2 linked regions of the Diceros bicornis minor genome follow. The protein of the gene in region 1 purifies or fractionates together with the protein of each later gene. This does not show direct contact. Links are inferred from orthologs where the notes say so. Each region holds a gene or a part of one and is shown on either strand. Other genes may lie near its edges. The genes, in order: SAE1 and SUMO3.

The links.
Region 2: the proteins of SAE1 (region 1) and SUMO3 purify together in Homo sapiens (affinity purification with mass spectrometry; 3 studies listed by BioGRID and IntAct, with this or other methods). This does not show direct contact. The link is inferred for Diceros bicornis minor from reciprocal best matches to the Homo sapiens genes SAE1 and SUMO3.

What each region holds. Positions count from the first base shown.
Region 1 is NC_080773.1:22,594,851-22,607,553, reverse strand, and holds the start of SAE1 (SUMO-activating enzyme subunit 1), read right to left. Parts: upstream 4,949-12,703; 5' UTR 4,879-4,948; coding exon 4,781-4,878; intron 1-4,780. UniProt on the Homo sapiens protein: The heterodimer acts as an E1 ligase for SUMO1, SUMO2, SUMO3, and probably SUMO4. It mediates ATP-dependent activation of SUMO proteins followed by formation of a thioester bond between a SUMO protein and a conserved active site cysteine residue on UBA2/SAE2.
Region 2 is NC_080766.1:44,195,772-44,207,883, forward strand, and holds the start of SUMO3 (small ubiquitin-related modifier 3), read right to left. Parts: upstream 5,966-12,112; 5' UTR 5,880-5,965; coding exon 5,859-5,879; intron 598-5,858; coding exon 469-597; intron 1-468. UniProt on the Homo sapiens protein: Ubiquitin-like protein which can be covalently attached to target lysines either as a monomer or as a lysine-linked polymer. Does not seem to be involved in protein degradation and may function as an antagonist of ubiquitin in the degradation process.

The sequences.
Region 1 (12,703 bases):
ATCTACAATCCTGCTCCATCCAACTGCCTGTTCATTATATTAACTAAAAGTCTTGTCAGAATCCAAAACAGAACTGAAGACTGCTCCCCGACTGCGATCTACTTAGGCAAATCTGCTCCTCCTACAGCCTTCCTCGTCCTTCTGGAGTCTCCACTTATCCCACTGACTCCTGTTTTACATTTGCCTTATTATCTCAACCTATTTCCTATGTAGTTTCCCTTCTTTTGTCGCTGGTGATTTATACTTGTCAAATAATTGTAGCTCTAATTTACTGAATGCTTTCTGTGCACAGACACTCTTTGTGCATTATCTCATTCACTTCCCAGCAGTCTAATAAAGTCAATTCTATTCTCTCCACTTGACAAATGGAGAAAACGGAAGCGCAGAGAAGTTAAGATATGTATCCAAGGCTGAATAACTAAGAAGTTCTGGAGCGGAGATTCAAACTCAACCATTAGGCGTTGGCCCGGTGGCATAGCGGTTAAGTTCGTCCACTCCGCTTCGGTGGCCAGGGGTTTGCAGGTTCAGATCCCGGGCGCCGACCTACACACCGCTCATCAAACCATGCTGCGGCAGCATACCCGATACAAAATAGAGGAAGATGGGTGCATGTTAGCTCAGGGCCAACCTTCCTCACCACAAAACAAACAAACTCAACCATTAACCACTATCAACCACAATAAACTGTCCTTATATGAACAACCAGGACTGGCCTCTACACACGGTACATGCTCGGTCACTCTTACGGCAAATGCGTGTCTAGAGAAGTCCTCTGGAACAGCAGCAGTTGCTGGGTAACATGTTTGCAAACAGGGAAGCTCTTGCAGTCCCTTCTTTGTAAAGTCAGAATTTCAGAGTTGAAAGAGCCCTGAGAGATGCAGTCACACTCAGCCCTCCTTTTTGCAGATGGGGAACCAAAGGCCAAGAAACTGCGTGACTGCCCCAAGGTCAGACGGCTAGTTAGCAGAGCAACCCAGGTGTCCTGCAGGTCTTCGCAATGTACAATCATTTCATTCACTCAACAAATACCTGAATGTCTATCAACCCGCAAGCGCTGGAAACTTAACAGAGGCCAGTCAAACCCTTACCTTCATTTCCAGACACTGATAAAGTGCTTGCCCTCAGGGAGCTTATAATCTACTGCCCTCTTTCCAGTCACCCTCCCTTCCTCACTCCTAGATAGGGGATAAATTACTGTGGAGTGGAAGAAGAAAAAATAGACATGCCTTTGCTGTGAAAGGCAGTGCAAAAACCGCTGAGGCACACATTCTGAGAACACACACAGCTGCCGGCTTCGACGCTGGCCTCTATGTTAATCTGACAGAAGGAATGAGTCCCTATTGAGGAAAATGAGCCGTCATGGACACAGCAGTGAACCTGAAGCGAGTGACTTAGATTCAAGTCCTACTTCTTCTAGTTACTTGGTGTGAGACCTTGGGCGAGTTGGCTCCCTTCCTTGACCTTCATCCATAAAATGGGCTACGCACCAGAGCAAGAGATGCAAACTCACATGCTTACAGGGGTCGGGCAATTACGTCAACGAGGGAAGCTGAACTGATGGAGACAACGGCAAAGTAAGATGTAAAAGAGGAAGACGCAGCCGCTACTTAGCTCCAACCAACGCGGGGATGTCTGACTTTTCTATTTTTCAAAAGACATAAATTAGAAATTCTATGGAGGGCCAGCCCCATGGCGTAGCGGTTAAATGAAGTTAATTTTATTCTTTCTGATACTCAAACTGTCCCAAATTTGGCCAATTCTCTGGATTTTTAAACACTGGCAACTGATTTTTAAAAATGTAAAAAAACACTGTACGAGAAATACAGCCCTTTTTTTGTGTGTGTGTGAGGAAGATCAGCCCTGAGCTAACATGAGTGCTAATCCTCCTCTTTTTGCTGAGGAAGACCGGCTCTGAGCTAACATCTATCTCCAATCCTCCTTTTTTTTTTCCCCAAAGCCCCAGTAGATAGCTGCATATCACAGTTGCACATCCTTCTAGTTGCTGTATGTGGGACGCGGCCCCAGCATGGCCGGAGAAGCGGTGTGTCGGTGCGCGCCCGGGATCCGAACCCGGGCTGCCAGCAGTGGAGCGCACACACTTAATTAACCGCTAAGCCATGGGGCCGGCCCACAGCCCATTTTTAACCTCTAGACTGTATGAGTTCTCCTGAAGGCCCTTTTTATTATTATTACTCTCTCTTCCAGTTCTCTGACAACCTTGGTCCAACATCACAGTCAGAGGCAAAACTGTAGCCAGAATGCAGCCTCTGATTCCCAGGCCGCCTTCTACTTCACCAAGGAACCCCAGTCCCCAGAGTTCTCCTGGCCACCTCGAGTTCCCTTAGAGGCAAGTCAATTTGCTTTGTGGAGCCTCCTTCCTATCTGTAGAGGGGAGGAAATCACTGCCCTTCCAACTCCAAAGAGCTGCTATGACACCAGCTGAAAAATGGACATGACAGCACTTTAATAAACTCTAAGACTGTCCACAAATACGGATTCCAAATTATAGATAACCACTTCCTTCCCTCCCAGGACTCTCAGCCAATCTTTTTCAGGTTCTCCACCGAGTTCAGCACTCCCTCAGTCTCCACTCCACAGTCTCCACTCCCTCAGAATAACTCCCATCTCCCAAGAATTCCACATCCTGACTTTGATTTGCCCCTTAGGTCATCTCCTCCTCAGAAGCCCCCGTGCCTTACTTAGTGCTCCAGAGAGAAATCACTCCTAACCTGCTGACAGCTCCCTCGATACATTCCAGTTTAATCCTCACCAACTTTACTTCACCCTACTTCAAACAAAACTGCTGCCCCCAATCCCTAGGGTTAACCCTTCTAGTACTTAGGATCCCCTCCCCCACCCTTCAGGACCTCTTAACACTCCAGTCCTTCAAACTGTAGTTCCTAAAATCAACCAACCCCACCTATGTCTTCAGGGCCATTCTCATCATTTAATTTCTAATTTTTCATTTCAGGTGCCTTCAACCCTCGACCAATGCTCGCTAATGCCTCAGGATGACAACTCCCCCCTCAATCGCAGAAGACCCCACACACCTGAAATGAGCCTGCAGTAACCCCCACCTCCCCCCAGCCACCACCACACACACACACTCTCTCTCTCTCACCAAAAAAATCTAGAAGCTTCCACCCCTCAAACTAAATTAACCTGCCTGCCTCCCCGACCCTTAGATCAATTAATTCTATACTCTGTACTCATTCACATCACAGACCCTCCCCATCACCCAGCCTTCATCTCTGAACTCACTCACATACTTCTACTTAGATATATAATAAACATCTAAAACGTAAGCCCAAAAGAGAACTCCTGATTCTTCCCTACAGTTTTTTCCCATCTCAGTAAATGGCAATTCCATCTTTCCATCCCTTGGGCCAAAAACCTTGGAGTCACCCTTGAGTTCTGCCTCTCATACCCCACACACTGAATCCCTCAGCAAAACCTGCCCCCTCCACCTTCAAAATATATCCAGAATACAGATTTGACCCCTTCTCTAGGGTCCCAAGCCACCACTATTCATGCCTCAAGTGGATTCTTGCAGCAGTCTCCTAAACGGTAAATCCTTATTTCCACTTCTGCCCACTTCAATCTATCCTCCAAACAAGAGTGAGCCTTTTACAACACAAATCAGATCGTGTTACTTCTCCGCCCCAAAACTCTCCAATGGGTTTCCTGGCACACTTAGGAAAAAAAAAAGTACTCCTCAATTCAGCCACTCGTTCTCTAGTCTGCCAAGCGTGCTCTGGCCTCCAGGATCTTACACTTGCTGTTCTTTATGCTGGGAAGGTTCTTCCAAATGGCCACCTGGCTCCTGCTTCCATCCAGGTCTGAGGGTCAATGCTACCTCTTCACAGGCCTTCCCTGGCCACCCCATCAAAACAGCTCTCCTACTTCGCCATCCTTCACTGATCCTCTGATCCTGCTTTATTTTTCTTCCTGGCACGGCAATTACCTAACATTATATTATTTATCTGTGTCTCCAACACTAGAATGTAAGCTCCACGTGGGGAAGCAGTCTGTTTAGCTCACTGATACGCGCTCCGGGCCTAGAACAGAGCTCATGGCAGGTACTCCATGCATATCTGATGGAAGCAATCATCTCTTTCAAAGATATTCCCTCCGATAACGACTCCTCAATACCCAAGGTACGCCCAACCTTTAGTGACCTGTCCTGCCTGGACACACCCCCAAACCTAGACACGGGCAACCTCTTCAGACTCACACTCGAAATAACTTGCTCCAAAACCCTCATTCTTCCAGATCGATCCACCCCCCGGAAGCCACAAGAATGCAAGCTCGCGTCTGTTCGGTTCGCCGGTCTCCCGAGCATCCAGCAGAGAACAGACGCCCGCCATCTATGAATGAATGAACTACGCCCCCCCGCCTTCACCCTTTCCCTGCATTCCCGGCCTCTCCTATGCCCTAAGCACACCGCCCCGACCTCGACCCCACCATCGACCCTTCCGGGGGTCCGAGTCCCTGAGTCTGAATCCTCCTGATCCCTCAGGACGCCCCCACGCCCACTGCCAGAGGCCTCCAATCACTCAGAACCGCCCTCTCATCACCCTGGGGCGCCCCCGCTTCCCATACCTTCCAGAAACATACCAAACCAACCCCTCCAGCCCTCTCAGGCGGGCTACCATCCCCGGGGACGTAATTCCCGCCTCCTCCCCTCGAATTAGACTCTCCCGCTCCCGGAGGGCCGCCAACGCCTCAGGCCAGACGCCCCCTCCGGACCCTCCGCCCCACCAGGCGCAGCGGCCCTGACCGTTTCTGGGCCTCCAATCCCCACAGACGGATCTGCCGGTCATACTGCGCCGCCTCTTCCTCGCTGATGCCGCCGCCGGCCTCCTCCTTCTCCACCATGGCGCCGGCTCTCGCTGCCTGAGCGCGAGCTCTGCTCTCATCAACCGTCCGCCGGCCCCACGCGCCACCAACCGCCGCCGGCCGCGCGCCCGCGCCGCGTCTGCGCCTGCGCCAGAGGCCGCGCCTGCGCAGTACCTCTGCCGCCGCCCGGCGCCGCTCCTGGAACCTGGGATCACGTGGGCCTCCCCAGCCTCAATGGCGGGCCGGGGACTGACAGTCACGTGATGGCGGCTCCGGCCAATCCTGGCTAGAAAAATGGTGCGGCTTATGGCCCCACAAAGATACCCAAATAGTTATTTATGAGGCTATTAATTCGGCAAATATCTGTGGAGCGCCTGCTGAAATCCCCGCATTGGGGCTGCTGTGAAATAGGCTGGCAAATAAAATAGACAAATCCTGCCCTCATGGAGCCTACAAGCTATTGAGGAGGGCCCAAAGAAAAATAAATATAAATCAGGCTGTGATAAATGCTTTGGAGAAAAATAAAGCAGGATATGGGACTACAGAGTGAGGGAAGGTCTGTCAGAGAAGGTGACATGGAGCAGAGATCTGAAGGAACAAGCTATGTGGATAACTGAGAGATGGAACATTTCTGGAGTTGACTTGAAAATCCTCAAAAGGAGTTTATTAAAGAATAGTAAAAAGAATTGCAACTTCAGATGTGCATGCTATGGGAACCATTGGCAAATTCAACAACAGAGGGGAGCTGCCTTTGTAGACAAAAACCGGGAGTAGGGGGCCAGCCCCGTGGCTTAGCAGTTAGGTGCACACACTCCGCTACTGGTGGCCCGGGTTCAGATCCCGGCCGCACACTGACGCACCGCGTCTCTGGCCATGCTGGGGCTGTGTCCCACATGCAGCAACTAGAATGATGTGCAACTATGACATACAACTATCTACTGGGGCTTTGGGGGAAAAAAAGGAGGAGTATTGGCAATAGATGTTAGCTCAGAGCCAGTCTTCCTCAGCAAAAAAGAGGAGGATTAGCACAGATGTTAGCTCAGGGCTGATCTTCCTCATTAAAAAAAAAAAAAAAAAAAAAGGGCAGTAGGGAGGGGCTGTTTTAAAAGAAAGTCCATGAGGGAAAAGTAACAGTTCAGGGTGGCAACAGGCTTCTCATTGGCTGAGCTGTGGCGTTTCTCATTGGCTGGGCTGCAGCATTTCTCATTGGCTGGGCTGTTGCCCGGTAGGGAAAGAAATCTTCCTTTAGTAGTAAGGTAGTTTTACTTCCTGTCCAAGATGCAAGGCTCTGTGTCTTCCTGTTTGGTGTAATTGAGGATGTGTGATAGGGTTGAGAGCTCCCCCTACAGGCCTTCCTGACTCCTAATTAGTTAAGGTTTCTTTTATTAGTTTCCACACTGGGTAGGGGGAACAGCAGGTGCAAAGGCCCTGAAGCTGGAGTGTGCTAGCATAGTGGAGAAACTGTGGAGAGGGCAGGGTGGCTGGAGCAGAGTGTGAGGGTGGCAAGTGGTAAGAGATCAAATCTCAGATGAATCAGGTAGGGAATCAGGTACGGCCATGTAGGCTAGTGATAGCTAATATGTATTTTCCTTAGGCAAGGTGCCTTTTTATTATTCATTCAACAATACTTATTGACGCTTGTCACGTGTCAACAATTGATCTCTGTGCTAAGGATAGAGCAGTGAAAAAGAAAAAAAATAGCTGCCCTCTCATGGAGCTGAAATGGGCTTCACATGGATTATTTCTCTAATCTTACAAAATTAGATAAATTCTTTAATATTCCCATTTCACAGCTAAGGATTCTGAGGTCCAGCAGAGTTAAGTATTAGTAGCCTCAACTAAGTCCTGTATCTTAGAAGTAGTCAAGCTAGGATTCAAACCCGGGCTGTGTGGCCCACATGCTTCACTGGGTTACACTGCTGGTGGTATGTTAAGCTCCTACTATGTGCTCTGATCTTGCTGGGTAAGGTACGTACTCTGTGAACCTCAGAGGTGGATAGTTCCTCCGCTTTTACAGATTACAACTCTGGGACTCAGAAAGACGTAGCCATTCATCCAAGACCACAGTATCATTCAAAAAAATTGGCCAATGCCTACTCTACTGGTTATTGATACAGAGCAAATTATGTAAAAATTTAGGGACAATGCAACAATAAACACTTATTATTTCTTATAGTTTCTGTGGGTGAGGAATTCAGGAGCACTTTGGCCGGGCAATTCTGGCTCAAGGTTTCTCATGAGGCTGCAGTCATTTGATGGCGTGGGTGGAAGATCCCCTTCCAAGGTGGCTCACCCACATGGCTGGCAAGTTGCTGTTGGCTGATGGCAGAGGACCTCAGTTTCTCTCCACGTGGGCCTATCCACCCGGCTGCTGGAGTTGTCCTCATGACATGGCAGCTGGCATCCCCCAGAGTGAGTGATCCACAAGAGCAAGCTGAAAGCAGCAATGCCAGGGCCAGCCCCGTGGCATAGCGGTTAAGTGTGTGCGCTCTGCTGCTGGCAGCCTGGGTTCAGATCCCAGGCGCACACCGATGCATCGCTTGTCAGGCCATGCTGTGGTGGCGTCCCATATAAAGTGGAGGAAGATGAGCACAGATGTTAGCCCAGCGCCAATCTTCCTCAGCAAAAAGAAAAAAAAAAGAAATAAAAAAGAGGAGGATTGGCATGGATGTTAGCTCAGAGCTGATCTTCCTCACAAAAAAAAAAAAAGAAAGCATCAATGCCTTTGATGACTCAGCCTTGGAAGTCACTCACTGCAATATCCTATTGGTCACACACGGGTCACCTCTATTCATTGTGGGAGACGACGATACAGGAATGTGAATACAAGGCAAAAAAAAAAAGAATCATTTGGGGACCATCTTAGAGGCTGGTTACCGCATTGATTATGCACCATGCCCTGTGAAAATAAGGTGAATAAAGACATATGAACTTGCCTTGTGTGGGGCTGACAGTCTAGTAGAGGAGACAGACAGTACTTCATCAGTCAAAGGATTATTCACTAATTCAACTACTCAGCAAATATTGACCACGTCCCTACTACATGTTTGACTTTGTGCCAGGCCCTGAGGGTACAATAATGATAAAAATCGACACACTCCTGCTTTAGAGGCAGTTACAGTCCAGTGGGAGAGACAAAATAATGGCATAAATATAAATAGAAACTTTGCGAAGCGCTGTGAAGGAAAAGAAGAGAGAGCTATGACAGTGTCGGAGTCAAGAAAGGATAGTGTAGGAGTCAGGAAAGGATATTGTGTGAATGTAGATGATCAGCTGAGCTTTGCAGAGTAAATAAAGGTTAAAACTAATAAAGCAGGCAGAGAGGATGGCTGCCCGTGCCAAGACCTCGCGGCTCAGTTCATCCTCTCTGTCTGATTCTGCCTCCCTGAGGGTCTCTCCTTGGCCCTCATTCCCTGACCCCCAGAAACTCTGTGGGAGATTTAAAGCATGTCCATAAATCCATAAAATGACATTTTTGATATTCTTCATCGATATTGGGGGGGGGTGGGAATCTATGTCCTCTATCCTTGAATCTGTGTTCTGTGACTGCTTGATCAATAGAATATGATAGAAGTGAATGCTGGGAGCCAGCCCTGATGGTCTAGCAGTTAAAGTTCAGTGCCTTCTGCTTTTGGTGGCCCAAGTTCAGTTTCTGGGAGTGGAACCACACCACCCATCTGTCAGTAGCCATGCTGTGGCAGTGGCTCACATAGAAGAACTAGGAGGACTTATAACTAGAATATACTCTATGCACTGGGGCTTTGGGGAGAAAAAAAAAAGAGAGGAAGATTGGCAACAGATGTTAGCTCAGAGTGAATCTTTCTCAGCCAAAAAAAAAAAAAAAAAAGAAGTGTATACTGGGCCAATTCCTGGGTCCAGGCCTTAAGAAACAGGCAGCTTCCCCTCCAAAAAGCTAGACATAGAAATACCATATGACCCAGCAATTCCACTCTTAGCTATATACCCAGAGGAATTGAAAGCAGGGACTCAAACAGATACTTGTATGCCAGTCTTCATTGCAGCATTATTCACAATAGCCAAAGGAGGAACAACTCAAGTGTCCATCAACAGATGAATGGATAAACAAAATGCCGAATATCCATATGAGGGAATATTATTTGGCCATGAAAAAGAATGGAGCACTGATAACACACGACAACATGGATGAACCTTGAAAACATGCTAAGTGAAGGAACCCTGAGGGGCTGGCCCCATGGCTTAGCGGTTAAGTGTGCACGATCTGCTGGCGGCCAGGGTTCGGATCCTGGGTGCGCACTGACACACCGCTTGTCTGGCCATGCTGAGGCTGCGTCCCACATACAGCAACTAGAAGAATGTGCAACTATGACGTACAACTATCTACTGGGGCTTTGGGGAGAAAAAGGGGGGAAAAAAGGGAGGAGGATTGGCAATAGATGTTAGCTCAGGGCCAGTCTTCCTCAGAAAAAAAAAAAAAAGGAGGAGGATTGGCATGAATGTTAGCTCAGGGCTGGTCTTCCTCAAAAAAAAAAAAAAAAAAAAAGAACCCTGAGTGAAAAGGTGATGAAAAAAGAAATAGGTAGTGGCGATGGTTGCATAAAATTGTGAATGTACTTAATGCCACTGAATTGTACATTTATAAATGGTTAAAATGGTGGATTTTATGTTACATATTTTTTACCACAATTTTAAAAAATTAATAGTATACCAAGGGGCTGGCCCCATGGTGTAGCAGTTAAGTGCATGCGCTCTGCTGCAGCGGCCTGGGGTTCGGATCCCGGGTGCATACCGACGCACCGCTTGTCAAGCCATGCTGTGGCAGCGTCTCATATAAAGTGGAGGAAGATGGGCAGGATGTTAGCCCAGGGCCGGTCTTCCTCGGCAAAAAGAGGAGGATTGGCAACAGATGTTAGCTCAGGGCTGATCTTCCTCACACACACACACACACACGCACACAAAAAGTAATAATATACCAAAACCCACTGAATTGTACACTCTAAATGGGTGAATTGCATGGTATGTGAATATGACAGTAAAGCGGTTAAAAAAAAAAGGGAAATGGGCAGCTTCCACTGTCAATCTCTTGGAACACTTGCTCTTAACCCAGCCTCCAAGCTAGCAGAAGCCAAAACAGCACAGGGAGAGGTCCACATGGAGAGGAATCCAAGCTCCTGACCCTCAGCCAGGCCAACAGCTGCAGCCAACAGCCAGCACCAACTTGCCAGCCATGTGAATGAGCCATCTTGGAAGTGGATCCTCTGGCAGACTGTCAAGTCACCCCAGAGGGACGAGAGACAAGCCATTCTTGCCAAGCCCTGCCCAGAGTGCTGATCTGCAAGCAAAATAAATGATTGCTGTTGATTTATGCCACTAAGTTTTGGGATCGCTTGTTACACAGCGTTGGATAACCTGAGTATTCTCCCCACCCCACCCCCACCAACTCTCTCTCCTCACACTCTCCTCTCTCTCTCTCCCTCTTTGCCTGACCCCAACTCTCTTTCTCTCTCTGACTCTCTTTCCCTTTCTCTGCGGACACTCTCAATCTTTCTGGATTTAATCTCTCTGACATACTCATTCATTCAAATTTCCCCGAGGACCTCCTCTGTGCTCAGCCCTGTGCTAGGAGATGCTTGGAGGGGAGTATTTTGTACTGTGGGGTCAGGGAAGATCTCTCAGAGGAAGTAATGAACAAGCAGAGATGTGGGGAGTGAAGAGAAGTCAGGTGACTGAAGGGGACAAAGGCATCAATTGAGAAACCAGATCATGAATGTTTTTGTTTTATTGAGATATAACTGACATATTACATTGTAGCAGTTTGAGGTGTATAGACTTTTTTTTTAAAGTCTGGAAATCTATTTGTTAATTACAACATGCGACCATTGTACTTTGAGTCAAATAGAGAACATGAAAAGTTCAGGATCTTGACCACTAAAAATGACAGTCAACCTTTCCAGAATGAGCATCACTTTGCTCTAAAATCACTTTGCTCATTCTAAAATGATTTGAGGCTCTCTTTGAAATGAGCATGTTTGAGAAGCTCATGCCTCTTCAAATTTGTAATGTTTCTTCCAAATATTGCTTGGCCCCCTAGGAAAGGCCCTTTCCTAGCTGCTTTCCTGACCCTCAATCCAGCCTCCAGTCACGACCTTACTCCTTACTCCAGAGGATGCGATGAGGGTCTAGATGGGTTGAAGTTCAGGGACAGAATGAGAATAATCGACACTATTTGGTCATTTTTATTTTATTTTATTTTGTCAAAATTTTTTATTTTAAAGAATTTCAAGCTTACAGAAAGAAACAGTCCAATTAATATTCAAGTATCCTTTATCCAGATTCATTCACTTGAAGTTTTGGCACATTTATTCTTTCTCTCTCTCTCTCTCTCTCTCTATCACACACACACACATGTTTTTTGGCTAAACCATTTTAGAGTTAGTCATTAGTCCTTAAATCAATGCAGGAAAAAGTTTTGAGAATTTTTTTTGAGACCCACAAATCTCACCAGGAAACTCTACTAGGCCAGATTCTCCTAAACATTTCCAGTGTATAAAAAGCCAAATATGCATACATTTCTTCAACATTAATTCCAGAAGTCTGAGTCACTTGAACATTTCTATATTTACCTCCAAATATTCCCAGGGTTAAATGATGCCAACTAAGGAAATAATTATGGCAACAAGGGGATTCACTAAGTTCTCTTGATCATCACTGTGGCCAATTGCATTTTGCAAAGACGGCTACAACAATATCTCCCATCCTACATGCTCTTCTCGCAACATCCCTTTGCCACTACTCCCATTGACGGGGTGGGGGCATCTATGTTCCCTTCCCTCGAAACTGGACGGGCTTTGGTGACTGCTCGACCAATAGAATGTGGCAGAAGAGACACTGCTTAACTTCAGAGTTGTCAGGAAAGGGGAGGCCGCTTCAACCCTGTTCATGGGAACACTTGAGTTTGAGCCTTGAGCTGCCAGATAAGCGATCCCATTGCCTTGAGGCTGCCATGTTGAAAGGAAGCCCAAACCAGCCCATGAGAAGAAACCATATGGAGAAGCCTTGAAACTACAAGAAGACAGAGAGATCTCTGCCCAGCCCCTAGCTCTCTGGCCATCCACTATTCTAGTTCTGGCCTCATGGTCTACAACCACATGAAAAGTCCTCTTCCAGAACCAGCCAGCCAAGCCTTCCTGAATTCCTGATCCACAGATACTGTGAAAGATAATAAAATGACTGTTGCTGCTTCAAGCCACTAAATTTCAGGGCAGTTTTTTTTTTAAATTGTGGTAAAATATACATAACGTAAAATGTACCACCATACCCATTTCTAAGTGTATTGTTAATAGTAGTGTTAATTATATTTACATTGTGGTGCAAACAATCTCCAGAACTTTTTCATCTTGCAAAACTGAAACTCTTTACCGGTTAAACAACTCTTCATTTCCCCCTCCACCCAGCCCCTGGCAACCACTATTCTATTTCTGTTTCTATGAGTTTGACTATTCTAGATACCTCATATAAGTGAAATCATACAGAATTTGTCTTTTTGTGACTGGTGTATTTCACTTAGTATAACGTCGACGAGGTTCATCCACGTGTAGCAAGTGTCAGAATTTCCTTCCTTTTTAAGGCTGAATATATTCCACTCAGCCAACTCAAAAATGATTTGCTTCCATTTTTTGACTATTGTGAATAATGCTGCTATGAACGTAAGTGTATAAATATCCCTTTGAGACCCTGTATTCAATTCTCTTGGATATATACCCATGAGGCAGTTTTTTTTTTTCCAGCAACAGCTAATCAGAACAGCTTCCAAAAGTGAGACTTTGTAACTTAAAAGTGGTGGGGAGCAGTTATTCAGTAGACCAGGCTCCTGGGTTTAAGGATT
Region 2 (12,112 bases), on another chromosome or scaffold:
CTTTCTGCGTCCTGAGGGAATGGTGAGCGTGGTCAGGGTGCAGAAACATTTCCTTTTAAAAAGCAGTGCTGACTTCACTAAACAGCACAGATAGGATTAAAACATGCATTCCTGCTCCCTCCTGGAACCCTTCTGAAAAGACATAAAGAAAGAAAAGGGGCATAAACAACAAAGAGAACAAGACAGGAGACCAGCCAGCAGACCAGGGACATACAGAGACACACAAATGAGAGAACACGCACACTGACACACACATGCATGCAGACACACACAGGAGCGCACACACACACCTGCACGCAAACTAACACACAGACGTGCACACACATGCTTCCAGGATGATGGAACCCTGAACAGCTTGGACATCTGGTGATGTTGAGTCACTGCTAATTTAAGTGAAATGAGTCACTGCTCATTTTTAAAGGCAAAGGCGCTCAGTCTCTGGGTGGCTGCTCTCCGGCCCAGGCGCACCTGCCTCTCGCAGTAGGCCTTCATCAGCTTGCTCAGCGGGGTGTGTCTCTTGATTTTGAACTGGACCACAGAGCCGTCCTGCCCAGCCACCTTCAGGTTGATGTGGTCGTTCTCTGTCTTCACTCCCTCCTGCAAAAGAGATGTGAAACTGGGCCTCAACACCGCGTCTCAAAATAGCCACCATTTTAAAGGGCAAGTCTTAGGTAATTGCTGGGTTTTTTTTTTAAGTCATTAAAACCAACCTAATTCTTAAAATTCTCTAGCAATCCAGAGTCACTCATGTGGTTTTTATTCTTATACAGAATTTATTTTAATTTCCATTTGTTAAGCATCCACGTATAAGGAAATGCAATGCAAATCTACAGAGTTTTCACAGATTGTTAATTCAAAGAAAAAATCTGCTTAATAAATCTAGGAAAAAACAGAGAAATCCATCTTTGTTATAAGGTTACTCTTATGAAACTAGTAAAAACACATATTCACAGGTTATCTATACTTATTTAGGACTGGTAAAATAAAACAAAAAAAAACCCCTTTACGACAGAGGAAACCATGGCAGGTGTAGTCGTGCTGGGAGGTCCAGTGTGCACGGAGCTTTCAGCTCCTCGCTGCCCACGACAGGCGCGAGGGGCCCCGTCCCTCATGCAGTTTCTAGTTTCGGCCAGTCCGACCTCCTTGGGAGTAATTCAGGGCATTTTATCTTCACAAAACTCACAATACACTCAAAGCTCCTGAACAATCACGAAACTGGGACACACATTCTGAAGTGATGCAGGAAGTCCGAGTCCAGGATCGGGGCCAGCAGGGCGGCTCAGGCTGAGAGTGAGGCCTGTGACCCAAGAGGGACGCCCAGCGTCCTGCTCCACGGGCCAGCGCACCTCATGTACCTGGCACCGCGTGGGAATAGGAGTCGTTTATTTTTGAACAAAACCACGAAGCTGACCCCAGTCCATCTGAAAGTACAGTTTTGATGGAAATCGCAGTGTTTTTTGCATGTCCTCCTGCTGACACTCCCATCTCTTCCCTGTGTGTCATCTGTCATGCGGTCATCTGTCCTGTGGCTGGAGGAGCTGCCCACCCGTAGGACTGAGGGCCAAGCTCTGGGAGGATTCCATGCTCCCTCCGTGTCCACGCCTCTTTTCTCCCCGGGCGGGGCAGGGCCCTGGCTCCCCTCCCTGAGCCCCTGTGAATAGCCTCACAGAGGGGACCAGGATTCCCTCAAGGCCACATCAGTTCTTCGGCTCCCGGAGATCCCAAGTGGGTGTGCTCTGTCCGGAGCTCCAAGTGGCCGAGAAGTGGCCCCAGGAGGGTGAGACTCAAGCACTGGGGCTGAAGGCAGACATCCTGGGGTGGCCCTTACACCCACCGCAGCTGGGGGCCAGCTCGGCCCTCCCTCTCTGAACCTCGGACTCTAGTACGGAGAGAAGGAGGCGATACAAAAAGGGGCACTCAATGACCCGAGGCCAGGATGGAGCTGGGGTCCCCAGCCCTTGGACTAAGGATGCATATGCTTTTTTTTTCAAATAAAGACTTCATTTTGAAATAATTTTACATTTACAGAAGAGTTGCAAAACAGAGATGGAGAGAGCTCCTGCATACCCCTCGCCCAGTTACCCCTATGTTAACATAGCACACACCCATGGTACACTGTCACACCTAAGAAACCAACATGGGCACATCACCAGCAACGAAACGCCAAGCTGTTTTGGTATTTCACTACTTTTTCCACTAACGTCCTTTTTCTGTTCCAGGATCCAATCCAGGGTACCACACTGCATTTAGAGATATGATTGTTTTTCAATTTTTTTTACTATGTTACAATACAAATAACATAAAATTTATCATTTTAACCATTTTCAGTGGTATTAAATACATTCAGAATGTCATACAACCATCATCATCATCCATCTCCAGAACTCTTTCCATCCCGTAAAACCGAAACGCTGCCCCCATTAAACATTAACTCCTCATCCCCCTCCCCCAGCCCCTGGCACTCATCATTCTCCTTTCTGTCTCTAGGATTTTGACTATTCTAGGAAGCTCATATAAGCAGATTATACAGTATTTGTCTTTTTTGTGACTGGCTTACTTTACTCAGCATAACATCCTCAAGATTCATCCATGTTGTAGCATATGTCAGAATTTCACTCCTTTTTAAAGCTGAATAATATTCCATTGTATGGATAGACCACATTTTGTTTATCCACTTACGCATCAATGGGCACTTGGGTTGCTTCCACCTTTTGGCTTTGTGAATAGTGCTGCGGTGAACATGGGTGTACAAATATCTCTTTGAGACTCTGCTTCCAATTCTTTTGGATAAATATCCAGAAGTGGAATTGCAGGGTTGTATGGTAGTTCTATTTTTAATTTTTTGAGGACCCTCCATACTGTTTTCCACAGCAGCTGCACCATTTCACATTCCAACCAGCCGTGCACAAGGGTTCCACACCCCCATCAACATTTATTGTTTTCTATTTTTTTGATAGTAGCCATCCCAGTAGGTGTGAGGCGGTGTCTCACTGTAGTTGCGAATTGCGCTTCTCTAATGATTACTGACGTTTTGAGCATCTTTTCATGTTCCTTTGGCCATTTCTATGTCTTCTCTGTAAAAAGGTCTGTTCAAGTCCTCTGCCCATTTTTGAATTAGTTAGCTTGTTTTTTTTAATTGTTGTCATTAAGTTGTAGGAGTTCTCTATATATTCTGAATATTAACCCCTTATCAGATGTGCGATTTGCAAATATCTTCTCCCCTTCTGTGGCTGCCTTTTGATTCTGTTCATAGTGTCTTTTGACGCACAAAATTTTTAAATTTTCATGAAGTCCAATTTGTCTATTTTTGTTGTTGCCTCTGGTGTCATATCTAAGAAATCATTGCCAAATCCCATGTCGTACAGCTTTTGTCCTGTTTTCTCTTAGGAATATTACTGTTTTGGGTCTTACATTTAGGTCCTTGATCCATTTTGAGTTAATTTTTGTATGTGGTGTTAAGAAGGATCCAACTTCATTCTTTTGCATTTAGATAGAGGACACATTTGCTTTTTTAAAGAAAAGATATGGATGTGTTCAAAACAAACAGATGCAGGGGCCAGAACACAGAACAAACAGAACCACAGGGCAGGGGCTGCAGACCAGGCAGCGGAAGGCAGCAGGAGAGCCTCACAGGGCCACTGGGTGCCCTGGCTTCCTGGGGAGACTGGTGCAGGCGGAGAAGGCGCCAGGCACCTCTCCCCTCTAACAGAGGGAAACCAAGAATGAGCAGCCTGTCCGAGACCCCTGGTGAATTCCTAATAAACAAAGAGTAAAAGAAATAAAAGAAACCCTGAAAACAATGACCACAATTCACTACCGTCAATCCCCCGCCTATCCAGAGGGGGCAGAAACTGTTTTCCGAATCGACCCACAAGGTTTTCTTTCCACCCCCAGGACAGCTTGGGAGTGAGTCTCCTACCCCTCCTCTCCAGGCCCAGAGGAGAGAGCAGCACGAGAGCCAGCAGGCACCGAGGGCACGGTAGGCAAGAATGAGGTGTGAGTGAGGCACAACCATTTAGTCGTTTTGGAAGCAGTTCAAACAAGTTTATTCAACTGAATTGGACCATGGATGTTGAAGACATGGGAGAGTTAAGTTTACACACACTGAAGAAATGAGTATCATATGTATTTCATTGTATTTAAACTTCAGTAAGAGGAAGCCACCCAGAAAAACAAAGGCAAGCATTTACCTTTGGCCTGGAGGAGTGGTATAAAAAGCTGAGTTGGCACCAAAATGTAAAAAGCCATGGCGGCTCCATCTGCATCTGGAGGCTTTCCTGGGGTGTGACCTTTTCTCAAAACACAGCGGGCAGAGTGCAGGCTTCCACTCTCCCTCCAGACCACGGGCTCCGTGCAGGTCCACCCCAACCCCAGCTCTGCCACCTGCGTGCACTGGGGACACGCCAGGCCGCAGTCTCAGCTGTGGAGGGGGTGCAATCTCCAGCACCAGGCTGGTATCAGAGGAAGCCTATGTGCAAAGCATTCAACTCAACAGCAGATCTTCCATTTGGTCAAAACAACAGACCCCAACGGTGCAGACAAAAAGCTTCAGGAACTTGCTTTTGCAGTTACAACCGTGGACCTCCCCAAGAACTGACAGCCAAGGCATCGGAGTGAGGAGAGCCAAATGGGGACAGGTGGAGGCACACCAGAGGGCACCACGGAGAGGGGTGGGCAAAAATCCCCAGGAAGAGATGAGGAGGGGCAGGTGCACACCGGAGGACAGCGACGGGGAGGGGGGCGCACCTGAGGACAGCGATGGGGGGGTGGGTGCACACCTGAGGACAGCGATGGGAAGGGGTGGGTGCACACCTGAGGACAGTGATGGGGGGGGTGGGCGCACACCTGAGGACAGCGTGGGGAAGAGCAGAATGGCGGGTGCACACCCGAGGGCGCGGCGGGACGGGCTGCGGTAAAGGTTGGCAGTGTGCACGGACAGGTCAGGTGGCCTCGCCGCCTGTCCCCAGGTGCGCCCTCTCGGCGCCCTCTCGCTCCGCAATGAGGGCTGGGGAGGGTGCCCCCTGGAGACGCCTCAGCAGACAGGTCCAGGGCCGGACCCGCGGACCGCGGTCCCGACGGGAGGAGCTGTAGTGGGGGAGGCTCTCCGCGAGGGAGGGGGTCCTGAGGAGGGGCGGCCCTGGAGAGAAAGTGGGGACGTGGGCTTCCCGTTGAAGTCGTGATTGGGGGGTAAAGCCAAGGCTGGAAGGCCCCGGAGCGGGGTAACGACGGAAGACGAGGGAGCGTTTCTCCGCGAAGGGGGTTGGCAGCGTGCGAGATCCCCGCACCCCGGGGTTCGAGCGCGGGTGGGCGTGGACGTGAAACCGAGCAAGGGCTCCTGGGGAGTGTGGGCCCAGACGCCGCAAGGCTCCCGGAGTCGGCGGGTCCCGGCTAGGAGAGCGCCGTAGTGGCGGGGGATCTCGGCGAAGGGGAGGTTCCCTGCGAGGAAAGTCCCCGCCCGCCCCAGACCACGTCCAAATTCCATCCCGGGCGGGGCTCCCGGGACGGGGCGGGGCCTAGCCGGGGGCGGGGCCCGGGCAATCACGGGGGCGGAGCTCGGAGGGCGTGGCAGTCGGGGCGGAGCCTGGGCGGGGGCGGGGCCTGGGCGTAGGGCGGGGCGGAGCCTGGGCTGTCGGGGGCGGAGCCGGGGCGGGGGCGGAGCGCCACAGAGCGGGGGGAGGGGAGCCGAGAGGCGCGGGGGGGAGGGGAGCCGAGGGGGGCGCGGGGCGCGGGGAGGCCTCGCCGGCGCCGCTCTGATCCCGGAGGTCGCACCCGGCCGCGGAGGGTGCCTGGTGCGCGGGCGGTGGCGGCGCGGGCGGGGGGCCGAGGACCGGGACCGGCACGCGCCCGCTGGCCCTTACCTTGGGCTTCTCCTCGGACATGGCTGCGGGCGGCGGCGGGAGGCGGCGAGGGGGAAGCAGGCAGCGCCGGAGCGGGCGAGTCACGCTCTCGGCCCGCCGCTCTCCCGCCGCAACTGCTCGCGGGACCGCGCTTTGCCCCCCAAATCTCGGCGTGCGGGTTGGTCGGCGAGGGGGTCACGTGGCGTTGCGCGTGCACGATGCGCGCCCCCCGGGGCGTCGGGCGCGCGCCGGGCCGGGCCGAGGTTCCTGACCGTTGGAAATGCGTCACGGGGCGGGGCCCGGCGTGAACCTGGCGGTCCTGACACTCTGGGGCGCGGAGGGCTTGGAGTCGGGGGTGGGGATGCCTGTACAGCACCAGACGCGCTCTCAGAGCTGTGGGGGCGCGGGACACCGGGGGGCTCACAGGGCATCGGGGGCGCACTAGGACCCGGGGGGCGCTGGAGCACCGAGGGCCCAGGGTGGCATACAGGACACCGAGGTCCCCAGGGGGTTGCACAGGGGCCTGGGGGGAGGTCTGGGCAGCGAGGGGCCTGGGGAGCGCTCAGAGTCCAGGCCATTTGGCCGGGGTTGTTGTGGGGTCAGGGACCAGGACTGGCGCATTATCTTGGGGCCTGAGGACAGCCTGTCCGCCTCCTCAGTGCCTTAGGTTCCTCGCCAACCGACCTGGTCCCTCGCCCACTTTAGCTCAGCCAGCCAGCCCAGGCGCACCCATTTATTTCCTGTGTAGAGAGTGCGTTTCTCAGAGCGAAAAAGGAAAATAAGGCCAGTCTGGTGAACCACCTCCAGTGGCCAAAGGGGACCTGGGTGAGTGAGTGGTGCCTTGAGAGGCACCCCACTACTCGAAAAGGCTCCATTCACCTTCATGGAGGAGCAGGAGCCAAAGGTCATGAAGAACTGTGGGGTGAAGGAAGAAAGCGCTCCAAGGCTGACCCACCTGTCAGCTCCATCCACTAAGGACACATCGCATTTGTTCATTTCACAAGCCCACACAAACTCCAGTCTGCCCTCCTTCACCCAGAGCTCCAGGGGGACAGAGACCTAAGACAGGGACCAGAGATGTGGAATGTCTTTCTGTCCACTTCTCACTCTGAGCTTAGCCAGGCTTCACTCTCTGCAGCTCCCTTTTCTCCCCTTGTCTAGTCCCGTTTGGCCTTCCGAACCTGGCTAGTGGAAGCTGAACCCTTGGGGAAGATGGTGGGACAGATGCAGGAGGCCCTCCTGTGACCGTTTTGCTAACGTTTCTGGAGTGCACACTGCACCAGATGCCAGGACTCCGCACCTAGTCCTCACAATAACCGATTCTACAAGTGAGGAACTTGAGGCACTCAGAGGTTAGATTACATGCCTGAGATCCCAGCGTTGGTAAGCAGTATGACTGGGATTTGAGCATGGGCAGTTGGTCAGTGAGCTTGACCAGTGTGCTCTACTGACTGTCGGGGCAAACCCAGGGTGAAACACTGCCTAGACAGGTGCTCAGGCGGCCATGGGGAATGTGCTGGAGAATGGGGGCCTTGGTCAGGACATCCTTTTGCTACTTGAGGCATGCATCCTTAGAAGCCCCTGGCTCTTCCTATCCTCCCTGTCTGTAATCCTAATGCCTTCAGATGAAATGGACCAGTGACAGCTGAAATTTATCTCACACTCAGGGTGTGCCAAGCCTGGTGCCAAGCTTGCATCATCCCACTCAAGCCTCACAACGCTCTGGTGCAAGGACCCTCATGATCCCTATTTTGCCAATTAGGAAACGAAGGTTTGGGGGGAAGGTGGACTGCACAGAGTCATGCAGCTAGGAAATAGCAGGGTCTGGATTTGACCCTAAGAGACTGAACCGTTTCCATCCTGTCTGAGTAAGGCCCAGCCAGCTGGATTCCACTCATTTCCTGTTAACATCACAAAGCTATGGAGCCATGTTTTCATGGACCTTAATTTCACAAACCATCTTTGACTCTTAAAAATTCACTTTCTTGGCTAGAGGCACCATTTAGGAGAGGGGAGGGGCCTCCCCAAAATGGGGCTGCCATGTCACAGGTTAACAAAGTCTCCCCATGAAAGGTGTGGTCAGAGCCAACCTCCTATCTCAGCCAGGTCCAAGGTCCTTTTTATCCTGGAATCTGCACTATGACCCACCTCTGTCAGAGAATCCCTAGGTAGAATGGCCAGCTCTAACTGTGCTTCTGGGAGAGGGGAGCCTGCAGGAACAAGCCCCATCCAGGACAGAGATGGACAATGGGGATCAGAACCATCCCCCAAGATTGTTGGCTCTGGTGTGACTTCACATGGGCAGTGTTCATGCCCATCATCAACTGGAAGACACCATCAATTATAAAGCATAATATTGTGTATGTCACATACACATTAAACTATGATGGGTTACGGATGGAAGACACATCCTGGTTTCAGACCTATTGAAGTGTGAAAAATATGTAACTTAGAATTGATGAAACACAATATCTAAATGTGTTACAATAAGAAATTAGTGAAACTATGGTCCATATAATGAAAGGCTGTATCACTATTTAAAGAATGTGTAAAAAAAAGAGTAGTTGATAACAGGAAAAGATGCTCATATGATGTTGATGAATTTTTTAAAGCAAATTGTTAAACTATTGTGGTTTTGAACAACTAGAAAATCTGTATAAAATATTTTGAAAATCTGTTTGAAGATATCAGGTAGCTACTAAAACAGAGAAGACTTTGAGGGGTGAAGATCCCAGAAAGAAGGGAAGTGGTTTTTCCCTCTGAGGCATTTGGTGATTAGTATGCTATATTAGTCAGCTGGGGCTGCCATAACAAAATACCACAGACTGGATGGCTTAAACAACATTTATTTTCTCACAGTTCTGGAGGCTAGAAGTCCAAGATCAAGGTGCCAACAGGGTTGATTTCTGGTGAGGGCTCTCCCCTTGGCTTGTAGAGGGCTGCCACCTCTCTGTATCATCACATGGCCTTTCCTCTGTGTGTGCATGGATATAGGGAGAGGAAGAGGGAGGGAGGGAGTGTGGGACAGAGGGAGGAAGAGAGACACAATGCAGTCCATAATATATGCAGTGGACAAGAAGTTGAGACACTGAGCAGAGCTTTTGAGTCTCATAGGATGGGGAGACAATAATTGAGCATGGCCTACTACAAGATAGGCTATGATAAATAACCTGGACCTTCAAATGGAGCACTGGGACCTACAATAGAGGAGTAAGGCTGAAGTGTAAATAGGTCACTCCTCACAAAGACTGAAACCCAGCTTCCAAACAGCTCACTCCCAGATTGGGCTATGCTGACCTGTTCTCCTTCCTATTGCCAGCCTGAAGCAAAGAAAATCTCTGGAGGAAAATAGCATCATCTAGGGCCTCAAGTTAACTAAAATATCTTCATACACAATATCCAGAATTAAATAAAAGCTTGCAAAGAAAACCAGGAGACAAATGATCCAAAACCAAGAAATAGTAATAACCCCACAGGAGACAGAGTATTGGCATTATCGGACACAGACTTTAAAGTAACTTTAATTATTTTAAATAATTAATATGTTAAGGAAAATAGATAATAAGATGGAAATTTTCAGCAGAAAATTAGAATCTATAAAAAAAAAGAAATGGAAATTTGAGAACAAAAATACAATTTCTGAAATTATGAATTCAGTAGATGGGTTTAACAACAGATTAGACACAGTGGAAGAGATGATTATGAACTGGAAGATAGGTCAGAAGAAAATATTTAGACAGAAGCAGAGAGAGAAAAAGTATGGAAAATACAGTAAAAGGCCTAAAAGCAATATACAATATGGTGGAAATATCTAACATATTTGTAAAATGGAGACTCAGAAGGAGAGAAAAGAATAGGCCAGAAGCCATATTTGAAGAGAGAATGAAAGAGAATTTTTCAAAATTCACCAAAGATAATAAACCACATACTACAAAGAAACTGCTAACCCAAATCAGAATAAATACAAAGACAGCCACACCTGGGTATATGACAGTTAGCCTGCTGAAGACCAAAGACAAGGAGGATATCAGCCAGATATTGAAAGGAGAAACAAAAAGACATCTGACTTTGCAACAGAAACATGGAAGCCAAGCGACAATGGAATAACATCCACAACGTGCTGAAGGAAAATGCCTACATACAGTTCTATACCCAATAAAACTATTGTATAAAATACAGAGAAAATTTTGCTGTATAAAAATCAGAGAGCTGGCGTCAAAGCTTTCTTGTCTTCCTCTAAGTTTTGGGTTCCATCTCTAATCTGCCTGCTATTATTAACTTTTCAGAGTCCTCAGATAGTTGCTTACCTGTCTTGTTCACCCCAGAAGTCTCTCCTTCATTTTCAAAAGATATTTTGCTGGATATAGAAGTCAGCGTTTAAAGCCTTCAAAGGTGTCATTTCACTGTGCTGATTGTCAGAATACATCCTGAGTGCAGCCCTTTGGGAGGTCTTCTGTCTCTGAAGAGGAAACAGGATCACTGATTAAGCTCCCCCCCCAGGTTCCAAGGACATAGGCTTGCCTGAATGTGGGCCTGGACCAGTGCAACGGAGAGTTCTACTTGCCACACCCCATTCCAGGATAGCCAGCACCAAGGAACAGCCTGGAGCAGTCCATCACAGTGAGGGGCAAGAGCCTGGACAGAGACCCTCCCCAAGGTGCAGGTGCACAGAGAAGGCCTAGAGTTGAGGGTGGAGCAGGAACATTAAGAAAAACCCTCCAGCAAACCATCCTCCACCCTCAGCACAAGGTGCTGCTAGAGGAATTTGAGGTGAGTGGACACTAAAGGTAACCACAGCAACCACAAAACCCAGATCCAGTCAACTCCTAGCCTGCTTGACTCAACCCCTACAATGGCAGCCAAGCAGAAGAAGAGGAATGTCCATTTCCAGATATAAATACTATTAACCTCAGTCTCTATTTCCTACAGACAATATCTGGCTTTCAGTAAACAATTACAAAACACACAAAAAAGAAGGAAAAAACCCCACAATCAAGACACGAAAATCAGAGCCAGCCCTGGTGGCCTAGTGGTTAAAAGTTAGGTGCTTGCCAGTTTGGCAGCCCAGGTTCACTCCCTGGTCGCAGAACCACACCACCTGTCTGTCAGTTGCCGTGCTGTGGTGGCAGCTCACATAGAACTAGAATGACCTACAACTAGAATATACAACCATGTACTGGGGCTTTGAGGAGAAAAAAAAAAAAAAGAGGAAGATTGGCAACAGGTGTTAGCTCGGGGTAACTCTTTCCCTGCAAAAAAAAAAAAAAAAAGACATGCAAATCAATAGAACAAGATTCAGATATGACTCAGATGCTGGGATTGTCGGAGAGGATTTATGTTAAGGCTCTAGTGGAAAAGATAAATACCATGAAAAGGTGGGGGATTTCAGCACAGAGATGGAGACTATGAGAAAGAGTCCAGTGGAAATGCTAGAAATAAAAAACAGAGTAAGAGAGATGAAGAATGCCTTCCACAAGCTCGTGAGTAGGCTCAACACAGACAAGGAAAGAACCAGTGAACTTCAAGCTAAAGCCAGAGAAATAACCCAAACTCAAAACAAAGAGGAAAACATTGGGGTGAGGGCAGGACAGAACAGAGCAAACAAAAGCCCTGGAATAATTTCAAATGGTCTAACATATGTGTAATTGGAGTAACAGAAGAAGAGAGAATAGTGCAGAAGAAATATTTGAAAAAATAATGGCTAAGAATTTGCCAAAAATAATGAAAGATACCACACCACAAATCCAAATTCAGAAAACCCCAACCAGAATTTTAAAATATACATATATAATAAAAAGGTACACCAAGACACATCATCTTCGAACTGACAAAAACTAAAGGTAAAGAAAACATCTTGAAGTAGATAGAAGGAAAAAAGACACATACGTACAGAGGAACAGTGATGAGAATCACAGCACACCTGATGCAAATGCTGTGCAAGCCAGAAGACAATGAGGACACTGGAATGACACCTTGAAAGGCTTTAAACTCAGATTTCTATACCCAGCAAAATATCTTGCAAAAATGAAGAGAGACTTCTGATGTGGACAAGACAGAGAAAGCAACTGTTTGAGGACTCTGAAGGTTAATAATAGCAGGCAAATCAGAGAGGGGACCTAAAACTTAAAGAAAGACTTGACGGGGTGACTTTACAAGCATTCTTCCTCTTTGATCTCCCAACTTTGACCTGAGGGTGACCCAGTATGGAATTGCACAACATGTACACTGGCAAAAACTCCAAGAGAAATCCTCTCTCTTTGGACAGAGAGAAAGAG